Oreochromis niloticus: one gene and its partner. The protein of the gene in region 1 interacts with the protein of each later gene in a biochemical or structural test. Links are inferred from orthologs where the notes say so. Each region holds a gene or a part of one and is shown on either strand. Other genes may lie near its edges. The genes, in order: transducin-like enhancer protein 4 and pax5.

Region 1 (8,211 bases):
GGTGTGCCGCAGCGGTCAGTGGAAGAATCCGCGAGTTTCTCTGTGAATTTCACATTACGTCGTAGCGCACTCGGTGCTTGCTTGGAAGTTTAGGGGTTTTTTGCTGTAAAAAGAAGTTTTCTTCCCACGCACAACGGACACTAATGTTTTTGTCACTTTTTATGGAATCAAACTCAAAGTAAGGTCAGTACTTCCACGCTTTAAACGCTGCACGCTCATACTCTCTCCGCACTCCATATATTATCCATTGTTGAACTGCACACAGCTGTTGTCACAAACGTCGCACTCGCTTACGTCACTGTCATGAGACATTCTTGCAAAAATTCACGGTTTTAGTAACGCAGTAACGCAGCGTTCCTACGTGAAAGTAACGGTAATCTAATTACCGTTTTTGCAATATAAATCCCTTACATTACTCGTTACTTGAAAAAGTAATCAGATTACCATCTCTGGTCAGTACTGCCTGCCTGGACTCACTTCTTCTCCTCTCTTGTGCCCTGTCTGTTGCTTTGGATGGTTATAATGTTGACCCCTGGTATTTATTTAAATTCATCCACCTTCACTATCTCTGCTCTTTGGATCTTCACGAGTAAACTTGCCTTCCTCTCACTCACATACATTCACACGCTGTCTTTCCTCTGCTGATTTTCATTCCTCTTCTCTCCAGCAGATTCCTCCACCTGCCATGGCTCCCATCTTCCACTTGCTCCCTACTCTCACTACAGATCACAATGTCACCTGCCAACATCATACTCCACAGACCCCTGCCTGACCTCATCAGCCAATTTGTCCATCATCACAGCCAACAAGAAGGGGCTCAGAGCAGATCCCTGATGTAATCCCACCCCCACCTTGAATACATCTGTCACTTCTATCACACACATCACCACTGTCTCGCTGTCCTCATACATCTACTGCACCAACCTCACATACTTTTCTGCCCTCTTGACATCCTCATGCAGTACCACAGTTCTTCTCTTGGCACTCTATCATGTGCGCTCTAGATCCACAGAGAGACAGAGTAACTCCTTCTGACCTTCTCTGTACTTCTCCATCTGTAGTTACTAACGAGGGATAAAGCTTGATTTTGAAAATTGGTACCAGTACTCTTCTTCCTCAGACATCCTCCCACTCTCCAAGACTGCACTAAACAATCTGGTCAAAAATTCCTCTCTCCTAGACATCTCCATATCTCCACAGGTATGTCATCCTAAACCAACTTCCTTTCAACTCTTTAGTCTCTTCATAACTGCCTTCACTTACTCCTTACAAATCTTCTGCTCTTCCTGATTCATTTTCTATTTTCATATCCATAATGTTAACCAAACAAGTTAGGAATAAAAGTACTAACTAAAAGTCAACAACTTCTTTAGTATATTGTGGGATGATACATCGCAGAGTGTGCAGGGATCTATTGTTGTTCTTGAGTTGTCACCGCCTAATAACACTGACTCTCAGTGCCACTCAGGTGACCACTGAACACAGCCAGAGGCTTTGTGTCAGCTTTTTCAGTTTGTAAAACAAATAAAATTGCAAAAAAAGTAACAAACAGGACATAAGAATAAAAAACGAAATACAAATATAATAGAAAAACATGAAGTTAAATCAAAACTTCTCAGGGGAACATTTAGAGACCAAAATGACAAGTTCTTGCAAATCTAAAAGGAGCATACTAATGAACAAACCAGATAAATAGTTAGGAGATAGTCTATTAAGCTTTTGTTTATGAGCACTAAAATAAGCCCCTATTTTCTTTTGTGTTTTAGCAGTTGCACAGAACTTTGGTGTCCAGTGAAACACACTGAAGCAGCTATCATAATGAGCCCATGCTGGTGCTGCCATGTTATGTGGAGTTTACAGCAATCGATGTAGCCTGACTGATAATTGGTTTTTAATGCGCTTGCTGAGGAGTCTCGCCTAAACGACACCTTCTGCACCATTTAAAGTTGATGTGGCACACATTATTAAACGTAAATAGCAGTAAAGTGAAAACCAATTTCTGTCCCTACAGGAAGATTTTCCTGTTTCTTTAAGTTAAATTAAAAGCATTCAATAAATTCTTACATTTGCCATTCTGTATCTTTCTTGTATCTTGTATTGAGTTTTGTTCTATTTGTGCCTGTTTAGTTTTCTCTGGCTTCCTCACACAGGCAACCACCTTAATTAGTTATTATTTGTCTACAATAATTTCATGGACAACCGTGTCAGGCTTATTGATGGATCACCCCGAGGAAGTATAAAATTAAAGATGCACCTTTTTTAAACGTTCTGTTTTTGTACCCTGACATAAAAGACTGGTCTCCTTAAGGCACAAACTACAAGCTTACAATGGTGGTACTTTAGAGGGTAAAGCTATGGTGATCAGCTGGTATATTCCCAAATGTAGTGGAAGATACTTTATTTTCTGAGTGTACACAAAGATCTCATCTAGTCTTTATATGCTGCATGGAAAGCTAAACAAGGGTATGCTATCCTCGACCAGTGGTCTGTATTTGTGAGAGCACGGTGTTGAAAAGTAATAGTGAGGGAGTATAATATTAAAGATAAGCAGAAGCAGTAGGCAGTGATGTGTGTGCATCTGCGTGTGTGTAACAGTGAGAAGGAGGGAGGGACATATGTACAGGTACTGATATCTAGTTGGGATCAGTGCACTGAGCAAGATGTTAAGCTCGGGTTTCCTTGCCACCCACTCCCCACCACAGACCATGTCAAGCCTCCCCCTTAATCCCCCCTCCCTGTATAAGCCACTCTCCATACACACACAGACATCCAGCATCCAGCTTGCTACCCATCTACGCTCAAAATCCGCTCCTGTGCAATCTCCTGTGCATCAGCTGCCAAATGAAGTTCCTCTTTAGAAAAAAAAAAAAGAGCCTTGGCTGTCGAATCGTCTGAGGCATCGTGCCTGGCGGCATAGGCAGCCCTTGTGTTGAAGCCAATAATCCGGCGTCAGAGCTTCAGGTGCGCAGAGGGTCGTGATTGACAGGACTCGATATGAGGCCCTCGCCTCACTTGACATTTGGGTTTCATAAGGTCTGGAACAAAAGGCAGGGGCAAAATAATCAGAGAGGGGCACAGGCAAATAAATCTGTTTATTCCTCCTCACCTGCCCCCCTCCCTCACCTCTGCACCTCCTCTGCTCGTCTACATCATGGCTCAACCCTTGGAGGAGAAAAGAGGGAGGGCATGATATTACCTTTTCACAGCCTTGGTGGATTCACGCACCGCGACAGCAGGTCACTTTAGGCTCTGTGCTTACCTGAGATATTAGTTTGTATGTGTGGTAGATAGAGATGTGTATTTGAATGGGTGAGGCAATGTGTGTGTGTGTGTGTGTGTGTGTGTGTGTGTGTGTGCGCACAATCCCATGTATGTTTGAGGGAGAGGCAGAGACAACAGACAAGACAGAAGCAGACTGACAAGGAAAGTGGATTGATGTGGTGTCACATTGTGGATTATAATTCATACACCTGTTAGTATGTTTGAACAAATATTATTATTAATCATAGAAGTAACATTACAACATTTACTACTGAAACACTGAAATGTATTTTATTGTGTCGTGTGAGGCAGACACACACATTATAACAAATGTGATCCTAAATAGCTTTAATGGGTTATGATAAATTCAGAGAAAGAGACATGAAATATAAAGTGTAATGCAGCACAAAATGATTAAGATTTCTGGACACAGTCAGTTAGTTCTGCTAAATGACCGAAGGCAGCAGTGAAGAGAGCTGCTGACCCAGCAACAGTGTGTTTCATCTACCCACACTGAACATCTTCTCACAGCCACAAATGCAGGCTGACAGACTATATGCACTTGTTCGCTCAAAATGAATGGTGTCAACTCTGCGTGTGTGTGTGTGTATGTATGTGTGTGAGAAACAGAGTCTTAGTCATAATATTTCAATTTACTTAGCAAGAGGTGTTCCATTTGGGTTGTACTACTTAAAGGGCAGACAAATTAGGCAAATGATTCAAGCTCTTTTAGGCGGCATTTATCTGAGCAGCGCACACGTATGGAATACATAAAATGCATTCAGTCTGCTTGTACATATAAGAAAAGGATAATGTCACATGTGTGCTGTATGTTAGAGTGTATGCTGAAATATGAACAGCAGGATTAGCATTTAGGATTAGGAATTTGTCTGAGACATGAGATCACATAAAAGAGACTGAGAAAACGAAAGAATGGTGGGAGCCTAAATGTGTATTAGCAGCATTTTCCAGCCATAATCAGAAGCCAAAGGCAACTCAAGTACATAAAGTGCTGACATCATAATTTCACTTCACCAGATTTCGTTTGCCTGCGGTATATTTTAACTGGCAGTCATAGATGCTACTCACTTTTCAAGTTGAGATCTGAGGGATTTCTAAAATTTGTTAAATGTTTAAATGCAGAAGAAGTTAAAAAAAACAGCACCACCATAACCAACCAGATTGTTATTATGTAGTTAAAACCTTAATTTAAAAGAAAAAATGTAAAATTAGAAATTCATGTAAATGTTTTTCCAACTAGACATGAATAAATAGAACGGGCTGAAGCGCTAATTGACATCCAGCCTGATATTGATGCCACCTTTGTGGCTCTAACATAATCAGTTTTTTATTTGTCCACCCTCTGTATGATTTACATAATGTGAAGTGAGAGATGAGGGGGCTGCATGAGAATTTAATTGCAGGGTTATAGGTGCAATCTGCGGACATGATAGCAGACTGTTTAATAGGTGATTCAATTAGGAAACGGGAAAAAAACATGAGACCAAGGGGCCATATGTTCGCTTCTGCCCCGAAGTCTGGAAAAAAAAAAGAAAAAAAAGAACATATAAGTCAACAGATAGTTTTCAGATTAATCCCTGTGACATCCTTTTGTACCAGAGCAGCCCCCACGTGGGGGTCTGCATAAATCGCGTCTTGCTGGATGTGATTGGATAGCTTATAGATGATTGGCAGGGGGGTGCAACGGAGCGTGTATAGTTTTCTTTCGCTATTGGCTGGCTTTAATGGCCGCTCCTCCCTCGGACCACACATCATTGGCTTTGGGGGTTTCGCGAAGGAGCTGGGAAGTTGTAGTTCTTTACAGCAGACGCGCATCTGTAGGGCTTATTATCGACTAATATGAATTAAACTACACGTCCCGACGTCGTGCTACGGGTCCTTGTAATTGTAGTGAATATGTAATTGAGCTCGTACGACTGGTTGCTTCTAAATTTGGCGTCGCAGAGGCAGGCTGCTGTAGTCGGAGAGGTGGTCGGTCGGCCGGTGCTGAATGAGGATGCAAACCTTTAACGGAGACTGTAGGAAATAAACCAATGAACGCGTGACAACGGGACGCTGTGGAGAAGCGTACTCGCAGACAAGTAGGGTCATGGTGTGCGAGATTTTAATGTTTTCTGTGAGAAATCTGAGAAAATAGAGGATTTGTTGTTAGTTCAGAAGGAGAACGTTAAGCGCTTAGAATAAGGTGCTGAAGATTTTGGAAAAGACTGGGACAATTTTTGCCTTTACTATTACGCTGAATGGACTTTTGAATTACTGTCTTGCTGTCTTTGGTCAGCCAAAGGTCCGAGGATGTCTCCACTCTTCGCGGAACCTGCATTTAGCCCGCAAACCAGCCACTGACTGACTTTTTACGCACGGAGAAAGCTCTGTTCTCACACACTTTGTTTTCGTGTTTTTCTGGATGAACACTGCAATACATTTTCAATGATTCGAGATCTGAGCAAGATGTACCCCCCGGCGCGGCATCCGGTAAGTACAGAACAGTAGCGGTAAGAGCAGTGTGTCAAAACAGCGCAGATTAACAGTCGCGCCTGATGCGTAATCAGTTTAGATCAAGTTTCCGTGCCACTGCGCGCTCTCACGGACAATTGCGCTCATTGTCAAACTGCCACAGCTGCATGTGTGTCTCTGAGTGTGCGTGAGTTAACGTGTAAGGAGACTGAGTGAAACCAAAAAGGCCATCCTTATCACAGAGGCCTATTGTCAGCTACAGTCCTGCCTGTGTGTGTGTCGTGACGCTGAACTTTGGTGGCTCAGTTCTTCCTTTCTTCCTTCGCACGCTGTTTGCTTTGGATTGAGGTCCCTCATCAGCCGGGACAGCCGTTCAAGTTCACTGTCACCGAGTCCTGCGACCGGATCAAGGAGGAGTTCCAGTTCCTGCAGGCGCAGTATCACAGGTAGGATTTCGGATACGAGCATGACATTTGGGCTGCATGGAAACATCAGCTCATCAGCCAGAACGGCAATAAACTTAGAAACCGTTCTGCATTCCCCACAATAGAAGCGATTGCGAATTTGATCCCTGTTGTTCTGGGTGCACATTAGAAGTAATTAGTGGGTTAATTAATCACTTTAATAGCAGGAATTAAAAAAAAATAAATGTTAAAAAATGTTTACATGTAAAATGCACAATTAATTAATTAATTAATACGTTTGGTTTTATATTATTAAATGTTACCTATAATATTTTTTTCTTCTTAATTACCTTTTGGTTCTTGCACTTTTGGTCAGTTGAAACCAGTTTTCCTAAGTCACCTTGGATATCTGGAGCTTATACTAGTGACCCCCCCACCCCCCATCCACACACAGAAAATGCTAACACTGTATTAGAGAAATAATAAATCAAAAAGAATTGATTGATTGACTGTGGATTGACTCACACTGTAAACCGAAAAACCCGAGATAATGTTAAAGAAATGGTCGAGTTCTGTGCTGCTGTGTACTAGTCATGTATGACTCATGAAGTATGACCAAATTATTAGGGAAATGTGTGATGCAATAACATGAAATACAAGACAGAATGTATTTTTTTATTTAAGTTTCGATTAAGAAATACAGTATGCTGAGTTTGACATCTATATTCAGGGATGTTATATTGCTATTCCTCTCAAATGCACAATATGCAGCTAAAACGGTGGTAGCCTGTATTTGTCTAAGGTCCATCTGTTACTAGTGACTAACCACAGGTAAACCCCCATCGACCTTTGCATGCACGTCTCTCACTCTCTCTCTCTCTGCAAGTGCAAGTGGTGTGAAATACTTTTTTACCTGACATGATGAAGTGTGAAATACATTGCTCAGGGCTGAACCACAGGCACAATACCAATGCATAATAATCACCCACTTCTGGCCACCTCATAATTATTACCAATCACCTGGTGAGATGAACCAGTGGTCCAGTTTGTTGGCCAGTCCTGAGGCTGAACAGGCTGAATGGTGCGCTGCATGCTTAATGCTACAGCCGCACAGATCAAACTCTTTCGTTCCAGTGAAATCCAAAACGAGGGTGGCGCTGATCAGATTTTATTTATTTATTTTTTTAAATAGCAGTGAGTCAGACACTCTGGGAATACGCTACAATAAGAATTACTGTGGTGCCACATGTTTCATTTCTTTTAAGGACGAATTTATTAGTATTTATTATTACAGTAGTTCTTATTTAGAAGAAAAGTAAACATGTTATAGACCTTACTAAAACCATGAATCTGTTTGAGAATATTCCCCAACCTTAGAGTACAAAAAAAGACGAGGGCACCGTCATCATCTAACTTAAATAAAGTTGAGGTATTAAACATTTAAAGCCCCAGATTTTCAGCTGATTTTAGCATTTATATTTAAGTAAATATTGAATTTTCTCAGTTTTTGTCATGTTTTACATCGCTGTATTTGAAGTGTACACGCAAAGGTTTTGATGATGATATAAACCTGATGAGTTCCTTCTTAAAAGATGCACAAAAACTTTATGAGGAGCGATACACTGGCAGACACAAAAGAGTTAAGCTTTTTCGCAAAATGGATCCTAATGTTATGGTTGCTTTTTTTGTTGATGTTGCAGTTTAGGCTTTTACTCGCACTATAAGAATATATGATGAGGTTTGTGTGGTTGTCCATTGATCCATTAATTACTGCACTACACCTGCTGAGTAAGTGCCTGTGTCTGCAGAGGAAATAGCTGCGATCCAAACAACTTATTTGTCTTTCTTTTGTAGCTCTCATATTTAGAAATGCAAATTTAAAGTGGCAGGATGCAGTGACTTGCAGGCTCAGTATAGTGCAAGTATCATCTCCGCTTTCAGTTGGCTAAAGTCTTGTTTCATTCTCGCTCATCGTCTTTTATCCACTCCCTACAAAATAAGTCAGTTAGAAGTCAGAAGTTAGAAAAGATTTTTGGTCTTTTAGTTTTACTTTTGATCATGTGTTTGCGTG
Region 2 (8,478 bases), on another chromosome or scaffold:
GCCCCATCATCACTGGGTTTTTTTTCACTGCATCGCATGCAGTCTATCGTATCTGTCACCTCAGTCAAGGTTTGATCTTTTTGGTCACATTAACGCAGGTGTTACATTCTCATTAATTCTAAGAGACACTGCAGCATCAAATAGCTTTGCGGGATAAGAAACTGGTGGTGTATTAGAGAGATTCAGTAGATTCTGGAGTTAATATGCCAAGTAGAGCATGTACTAATCAGTGGCAAAGCTCACAGGCAGGAAGGAACAAATGATAAAGCACAACCAGAGGGGAATGATAACTCGTCACTGGGGTATTGCTTGTAATTTTGTACCATGTAAGAGAATATTTCTTTGTTTTCTCAGTTCTACTCAAAGTTTAGCAAGCTTGATCTCCAAACCTCTCTTCAGACATGGAATTTGTAACACAGATCAGCCACAAATGACCTCATATTATGCCTGGGCCATATGGATGAAATGACAAACCTGACACTTAAAGTACTTCATGATATGATGCTAAATTCATTTAAAATGAGTTGTTTTACAATACTGAACACAGTGACTGGACACTCTGTTGACACCAGAAAGTACAATGCATCTGATCAGGGCTCACAACTAAACTATCTCTTAATTTAAGAGACAACAAGCCATCAAGATCCAGAGCAATGCCACCGGGATGCTTTAGGGTTTATGTGTTTTAGGTTGCTGCTTAAAATCTAACCTGCATTATTACGATTCTCTGACGATGATCTTTTATCATATTGAATGCATGTCAAGTACAGGTGAAACACACACACGCTTGTGTGCACACCCAGAGGAAACTGTTTTTGTGAAGCTCTGTGATCAACAGTCTGTCCATGCTTTCAATAGGAAAAAAAAAACGAGAGAGCAAGCCTGACAACACCTTCTCAGGCCAGACCAAGTGACTTGTGTCTATGGGGATTAAATTTGTGAACACAAGCTCTACACACACACACAAAGTCCCACATACACACTTCATCACCACACGATGCCACAACACCTCTTTCTCAGCTGCAAGTATAAAACCACATTGACAGGAGCCTTGTCCGCTCTTGTCGAATTGTCACGCTGAAATGTTTACCTTTACATACAAATGGCCTGGTGTCATGTTGTGTCACATAATGTTTCATGGACAAATAATGTGTCCCATTTCTCAATCCGCCCTGCAGCCCTTAAGCCCCCTTTCTAGCCTCTATAGCCACAACAACACCCAGGCACCATGGCCGCAGAAAGGGAACCTTGTGTCGCCACAGTGAAGTGCCACTCTGAATTAAATCCCAGGGATACAGAGGTAAGCTCAATCAGCACTGTGGCTCTGAGTATTTCTAGGAAAACAATGAGCACCAGAGGTAAGTTGTTTTTTTTTTTCAAGACTGTCGGTATTAGGTTTCTCTGATTTACTGTAAAGAAATGTAACATATAAGTGGATCAGAGGGAGTATTTTTTTAAGCCATACCTGATACACTTTAAGTTAGAAACCCTGAGTGAGACTTATTCATATAACATTGCTGAAAAACAAAAGTTACTGAATACTCCAGAATTTAAGGAAGGATTAACAAATATAAAAAGCAGGAAAACCACAATTTTTAATTTTTTTCTTTTTTGTAAAATGAAGAAGTATATAAGATATAAGTAGGCTTTTAAATAGTTCTGTCCCTTTCATTTTTAAATATGAAAAAATACAGTGCTGATTTGAATGTGAGGCTTTGGACTGAAGAATAACATTTAGGTAGCAAACAAAACATCATTATCAGGTAAAGTTAGGTGTGTCTTGTTGAATTTTCTTTTGAAATGTAAATGTAGTTCACTCTAAAGTTAGACAAAATATTTTAATGAACACTTGAGTACATTTTAAGGTACTTCTACTTTCTATTTCTGATGCCTTCCTCTCTGCTACAGTTGATGGGAAATGCAGTAAAGTGTATTGCTTCACCTTTACCTGATATACAAGTTTATTATTATTAAATATAAATTAAACCCAGCATTACAGTGGTTCACATTCGCTCCAGGCATAGCATTAAAAGCTGTGTATAGTTGGATCTCCATTTAAATACAGCATAATCAAATTAAATTGTCATTGTCCAAATGTCCTGCCTTCACTTTTAATAGTTAAAAGTAAATCATGTCGATATCTAATTTGCATAGCCTGCATCTAAGTGAAATTTTGAAGGACCTTTAACACACAACTTGTGAACTTCCACAGATAACACAGATGCATGTGTAATTTTGCACAGACATAATGAAACCCCACAGAACTGCAGGCCTTTGTCTTTTCCGTGTAGTTTACACTAAATTTAACCGGTCTGGTGAAAGCCAAAAGTCCCACAGAGACGAGGAGCATTTCCTCCTGTGTTTACGTGTTTACTTATTGTTCTAATCGTCCCTTTAGTTCTTCTATCTCGCGCTTTAATGCGATTCTTTCCGGTTCCGCTCGGTCAGAGCTCGGGTCACCGATCCAGCTACTCCCCCCTCATATTAATTACATTAATTAGTACGGGGGTGAAAAACAAACAAGTGATGATTAATATCTAAACTGTGGAGAGTTCTTCGAAGACGTCCTGCAGGCCAAAAAACAACAACAACCAAAAAGCAAAGAACAAAAAAACAAATAAAAAAAGTGGAGAGAAACATGAAAGACTGCAAAAAAGAAATACATTCATTTATTAAAAAATGGGATTTTAGGGATTTTAGAAAAACTATTTCTGGTCTAAATGTTTGAAATACAAACAATAAAAAATAACAAAATAAATAAATAATGTAAAAAAAAACTGTTGCATGTAAAATATTTCATACAGGCAACATATAACTCAGCCCAAATAATTATGTGCACATTGTTACATAAATATATTTAAAATGCGTGATGTATATATGTATTTTACATATACACTATGTATACAGTAATTTTTTCTTTTATGTTTATAGCTCGTTATTAACATCATCATCATCAATAATAATATATTATTATTATTATTGTACTGCCTCGAGCGATTAATAAAAATCGTTACACGTTTCTGCATTTCACTGCACTACAGTGAAGATTAATTACCAGTCAAATCTGATTTAAAAATCAGATTCCCTCAAATTGTGTCCGCTTTATGTTTTGTAGTTTGAAATTATAATTGTGGCAAAATGTGCATTTTATCTTCATGTGCGTCTCTGGAAAAGACTAGGGAAAAAAACACACAAATTAAAACCAAGCAGAATGCAATAGTGTGGTTTCTTCAAAGAGCCCAATAGCAGATAATTGCACATTTTTCTCTCCACGAGCTCACACGTTTAGGAAATGTAGTGAATAATCCGCAGCCGTGGCCTTGCATACAGATTCAACTTTTGGGGGTCCATGAAGTGATAAGGATGAGACAGTTCTGCCGGGGATTCAAGAGCTTTCCCCTGCAGGCAAAACACAGAATCCACGTCAGTGTGTGCAGGCCTAATCATCATTAGCCTGGAAAGTGACAACACCAGGCTGCAGTACTAACCAAATCACTCTGTGTGATGTGCAAAGGGGGGGTTCAAAAGATCCCGTTGACCAACTTTTCCCCGCATAAGTGGCCTACAGTCCATTCCAACACGGCATAAATTCATATTTTCCTCATAAAAGTCTGTAATTGATTTATCTGCGGCTGCTTCCCCGCCTGAAGGTCAGAGTAGAGCCTCCTTCTTTGTTTTCTCGCCACCACACGGGAAACATTAATGTTGATGTTTTGATGTTGTGGGCGCGAGCCGAAGGTCAGGGTCGTAGTGTTGCAGCGCGAGGCGACAAGCAGAGCAAAATGGGTCGCTGTCTCGCGCTTTGTTCCTCACTCAATTGTCTCGGGGCTGCGCGTGAACCCTGAGACCCGCAGCTGTCTGGAGGAAAGCAAGAAGAAGTTAGACACCGAGTAAAGAGACACACCCACTGCTTCAATTTCGCTCTTAAATCTTAATTCCTGTTTATGGTCACGATCGGTAGGAACTGGCGGTGAAATCTTAAGTTACGACTGTTGTGTGTTTGTCCTTTACAGTAAATTCACTTTCGTTTGTACTACTGTTTTCACGTGTTTTCGCCTGGAATCAGTCCTCTTTTAAGCATAATTGAATTGCGTTTGTTTGCTGCATAAGACAGCCCCTCATTCCGGCTTTACCTCATGCCCTCATGGTGAAAATTTTACTGAACACGCTGCTGCCAAAGTCTTTTAAAATTGCTCCTTCAAAGTGATACTTTGGTCTTCAAGTGTGATAATTTACACAGCCTTATGATTAATATCAGTCTGATTTTAAAAGTTGCAAATGTATCAATAAATGTAATAAATGTATTTATAATAATTTATGGGGGAGCGGGGGGGGGAGTGCATTTGTTGGCGAAAAGCGACAGCAAAACCTGATCGTAATAACACGAAAAGCCTACAAAGGAACACTGAATCAGGAGATCTATATTGTCAGTGTTTTACTAGACACTCTAAGAAACCCAAAGAAAGCGGTGAGTATCAGTATGAGTGGAAATTTTCAGTTGGCAAATCAATTTTTAAATTAAATGTAACGCGCTTACAGGTGTGTGTCTGACAATCAAGACTAAGGACCAGAACTATCCGTTTTGTAACAAACTCTTTTCACGAGATGCACGCAGGGGAAGACTGCACTCTCCAACTGCAGAGCAGTGACGTTAGCTGAAGTTGTAGCTCGACGTATTGCACCTGCTCCAAAGTCTCTGAGTCCGTGCGTAACGAGCATCCTGCGTAACAGGTGTAGACCGGCAGAGGAGCACAGAAGTTGGAGAAACTTCTTTGAGCACTCTTTTGGGAGACACTGAAAGGACTCTAAACATAAATCCACCTGTGAACCAACGTTTTCTTATTTCTAAGTAAAACGAAAGAAAAAAAAAAGCGCACTAGTTTTACGCATGGCGCTGTAATGTTACCTATCAACCTGCATAGCAATCAACCGGGAATGAATCAGAGGTATCAGAGGAAATGAATCTAACATGAAAGGGAGAAAGAGAGAGAGGGAGAGTGGGGTGTGGGCGGGAAAGTTTAGTAAAGTGGAACTTGGTAACAGATGCGAGGGAGGGGGCGCGGCCCTGAAGGGAAGGGTGGCGGTTGTAAGTTGCGTGTTATGTATGCAGGGCCGCGCGCGTGCGTCGGAGCGCACGTTAATGTGTGCACGTGAGCGCGTACTCTCATTGAATTTGTGTGTGCAAGCTCGTGCAGGAAAAGGACAGGACATGAGCGCACATTGAGAAAGCGGCTCTTTTACTCGGCGTGATCATTTCACGCTTCCCCCCGAAGCCTTTTTTCCACCTAAAGCGTTTAGTTGCAGCTGACTGAGCACTTGCAGGGAGTGCAATAGGGAGCGGAAGGGTCGAATTATTTCAACCTACAAGTCGCCCCAAAAGTAGGGGACAAAAAAAGGGGGAGAGAGAGAAAGGGGGGAGAGAAGAAAACTGCCCCAGAAAGGGAGAGAGAGGGGGAGAGGGTGAGAGAGAGAGAGAGAGAAAGAGGAGGAGGAGAGGGAGACGCTGGAAAAAAGTTTTTGATCTTTTCCTTTTTTCTCCCTCCATCGCCTCCCCCTGTTCTAACCGAGTAACATGGACCAGGGGCCCAAGAGTCCTGCGCTGCGGCTGGGAAGAGCAGGTAGGGTCGCACCGGCTCACTCTGGCTATATTTTTGCTCTCATCAAGAGCTAGAACTCATCTACTTATCTAGTGAACCCGTGCTTTTCTTGCTTTTTAATTTTTATTTACGACAAAACTTTTAAATACAAGTTAAAGTTTAGCTTTTTACAAACGTTTCTTTGAAAAAAAAAATTGCTTTAAAGCCGTTCCAAGTTATTAAAACTATTACAAAAACTATAAAAAAGTTTTCTGGAGTTGATCTCTGCAACGAAACACTCCGTAATCTTTTGTGCTAACTTTGAAGTGTAAAATGTGCTTTAGTTGCAATGTTTTCTCTCAAGTTTGTGACTTTTTGGACAAGTGCAGAAACTTTTAGTCTTCGTGTATCTGTCTTTTAGAAATTCTTTAGGCTTCATTTAAAGAGATAAAAAAGATAGAAAATGTTCCTGAGTGCTGTCGGTTTATAATTTTGCTTCTTTAAAAGATATGTTTTGGTGTTTATTTGCTATTTTGTATTAATTATTATTATCGTCATTTGCTGGCAGAGAAGTAAAAGTGGCTGAGGTTGCTGGGTTTGGGTGGCATTGTGCTTCAGGTCATCTCCACGTGTTGGTCAGTCACCTGATGGGGTTAGCTTAGTACCGGGTGGGTGATTAGAACTGAAAGGCAACGTGGATTTGCGCAAGATCGTGGTCGCTGTGTATCTCCAAGTCTCACAAATGTATGTGTAAAATGCGTCTTGTGAGGGTGGCCATGTGAGATGTTATTTGTTTTTCTAGTGTGTTAAACAGAAGTTGGCGTCTCTGGTCGTTTCAGTCAAATGCAACTCTCTAAAAGATGCGAGCTCGACTCTTTCCTTCGTGTCTCCATTATTTTATTCAACAGGTTAATCTCCTATAGGCCTATTCATAAAACAGCGGGGTCTGGTACAGCAATGGATCAGGCCATCGACCTTGTTATGGCACCCAATGGATATCACATCATTTCATATTGCTGCCCGCTGTGTCTGCATTGAAAAAACGTCGTTTGTCATTAAGAAACTGTGGGTAGGTGATCAGCCTCTTTGAACGGGCTCCACGCAGCTTTTTTTTCCTCCAGAAAAGCAACATCTGCTTTCGTGACCCCTCCTTTTGCCTGTTAGTAAGAATATTGAAATGTACGCTCACAGATTTAAGACAGCTGTTGAATAACATTTTTATAGAGATTCAGACTGCAGTTAATGCTGTTTTACGCATTCATTTTCACAATATTGCGTCAAGGAGGACTTTTGAGAGCATGGCACTTTGTCTTGTAATAGAATTTTTTTTTTATCTTGGGGTCACCCTTCTTTGAAAATTTCTCTACAGATGATGCCACTGCTCTGTAAGACAAGCCAGGGCTCCTCTGCAGTCTTTTGTGGAGTGGGCCTAGCCCCTGATAAACGGTGAAAACGATGGGATTTGTAGCAATTGGATGATAGCCTTTTAGCCACTGAGGAAATCAGAGTTTAAAGGAGGGCCCCTCCCATGCTGATGTGTAAAGTCTTCTGGGCCCGGGGCCTGTACCTACGGCCTCTCCATGTTTCCTCTCACTTTAAGATACGTGCTTGGAGTGCAAAGGAGAATCAATGGGGAAGAACGTGAATCTAGTAAAAGCTTCTGGTAGTGCGTGAAAGTGCAAGGCTCGATTCTTTCCATTTAGCGTGGCTGTTATTTCTGTGAATTATTTATAAAACATTTTAAAAGTGGCATTTATCTGTGTTATAAGACATTTTCAACAATCGTATATGATGTTAGCTGCCCTTGGCCTGTCTTCTGTCCACAGTAAAATACAGGTGTATTGAGAGTAATATGACCCACTCAGTGGTATCGTTTCTCTGCGTGTATTCTTCTGCGTCATTCTCTACCAGCCTGTTTTTATGCAGGCGTCCCGGAAACCCCGTGAACTGCTCTGCACTACTCTGACCATTCAAGCTTCATTTGCAGCATTTGTGTTTTCTAAAAGTCAAAGCTGACACGCCACCGTACAAAAGTTGTTACCAAAACGCTCACTAAACTGTGCAGAGTACAGGATCTGATCATGAAAATGTAAGAGAGAGAAGGGAGTGAGGGAGGGGAGGGGAGGGAGACAACCATGACCTCACATGGCGTAGCCTGCTTTTGCTTTGACCTCAAGTGCCCCATCATAGTAGAGAAACTAGGCTGATATACGGCCATGAGGGCTTTCTATTCCACCTGACAGATGACAGACTGGTCTTTACTTGCATTATGAAAGAGCCAAATGATCACAAATAGGACCATCTGATCGGGCCTGTGGGTGGGACAAGCGGTCTCAGTGATTTACCTGCTCGGCACACGGTCGAGTTCCACCCCGGGAAGTCCAAGACGGTTCACTCTTCAGTCCATATATTTTATTTATTAGTTATGACTTTTATATTTTATAAGCAAATGAAAACTTAAGAAGAGATACGGGAGCTTTCTCATTATGTTTACAGTCAGCGGGCGTGTAATAAACGAGCTGGTGGAGTTAACATGCGCTATTAATTTTTCATTGCTTTTTCGTTTTGAGGCTCGGGCGTAAAAAAGCAAAACAGCCGAAGCCTTCTTGGCGGATAGAGGGAAAAGGGAGAGCAGGAGTGAAAGGGGGGAACTCCTAAACAACAACAGTGGGTTCAATTTGCCTCCAAATGATTATCACAACTCCACCACATTCTTACTAACGTTTAAAAAAGTCTACAAACCCTTCATCCTTCTCCTCCTCTTCCTCCTCCACCACCACCACCCTCCCATCCTCCCATTTCCAGCAGTGGAGAGGTAATGAAATATGGTAATGGATTTGGATCCCCGGATTAAAGTCGTCCTACCCTGATTGAAGTTTTCTCCAAATTTCAAACCCTAAAG

Evidence for each region.
Region 2: the proteins of transducin-like enhancer protein 4 (region 1) and pax5 form a complex in vitro, tested with the Homo sapiens proteins (2 studies listed by BioGRID). The link is inferred for Oreochromis niloticus from reciprocal best matches to the Homo sapiens genes TLE4 and PAX5.

What each region holds. Positions count from the first base shown.
Region 1 is NC_031977.2:27,218,197-27,226,407, forward strand, and holds the start of transducin-like enhancer protein 4, read left to right. Parts: upstream 1-4,958; 5' UTR 4,959-5,363; exon of another isoform or gene 5,364-5,560; 5' UTR 5,561-5,709; coding exon 5,710-5,754; intron 5,755-6,084; coding exon 6,085-6,182; intron 6,183-8,211. UniProt on the Homo sapiens protein: Transcriptional corepressor that binds to a number of transcription factors. Inhibits the transcriptional activation mediated by PAX5, and by CTNNB1 and TCF family members in Wnt signaling.
Region 2 is NC_031971.2:22,416,939-22,425,416, forward strand, and holds the start of pax5 (paired box protein Pax-5), read left to right. Parts: upstream 1-5,065; 5' UTR 5,066-5,572; coding exon 5,573-5,618; intron 5,619-8,478. UniProt on the Homo sapiens protein: Transcription factor that plays an essential role in commitment of lymphoid progenitors to the B-lymphocyte lineage. Fulfills a dual role by repressing B-lineage inappropriate genes and simultaneously activating B-lineage-specific genes.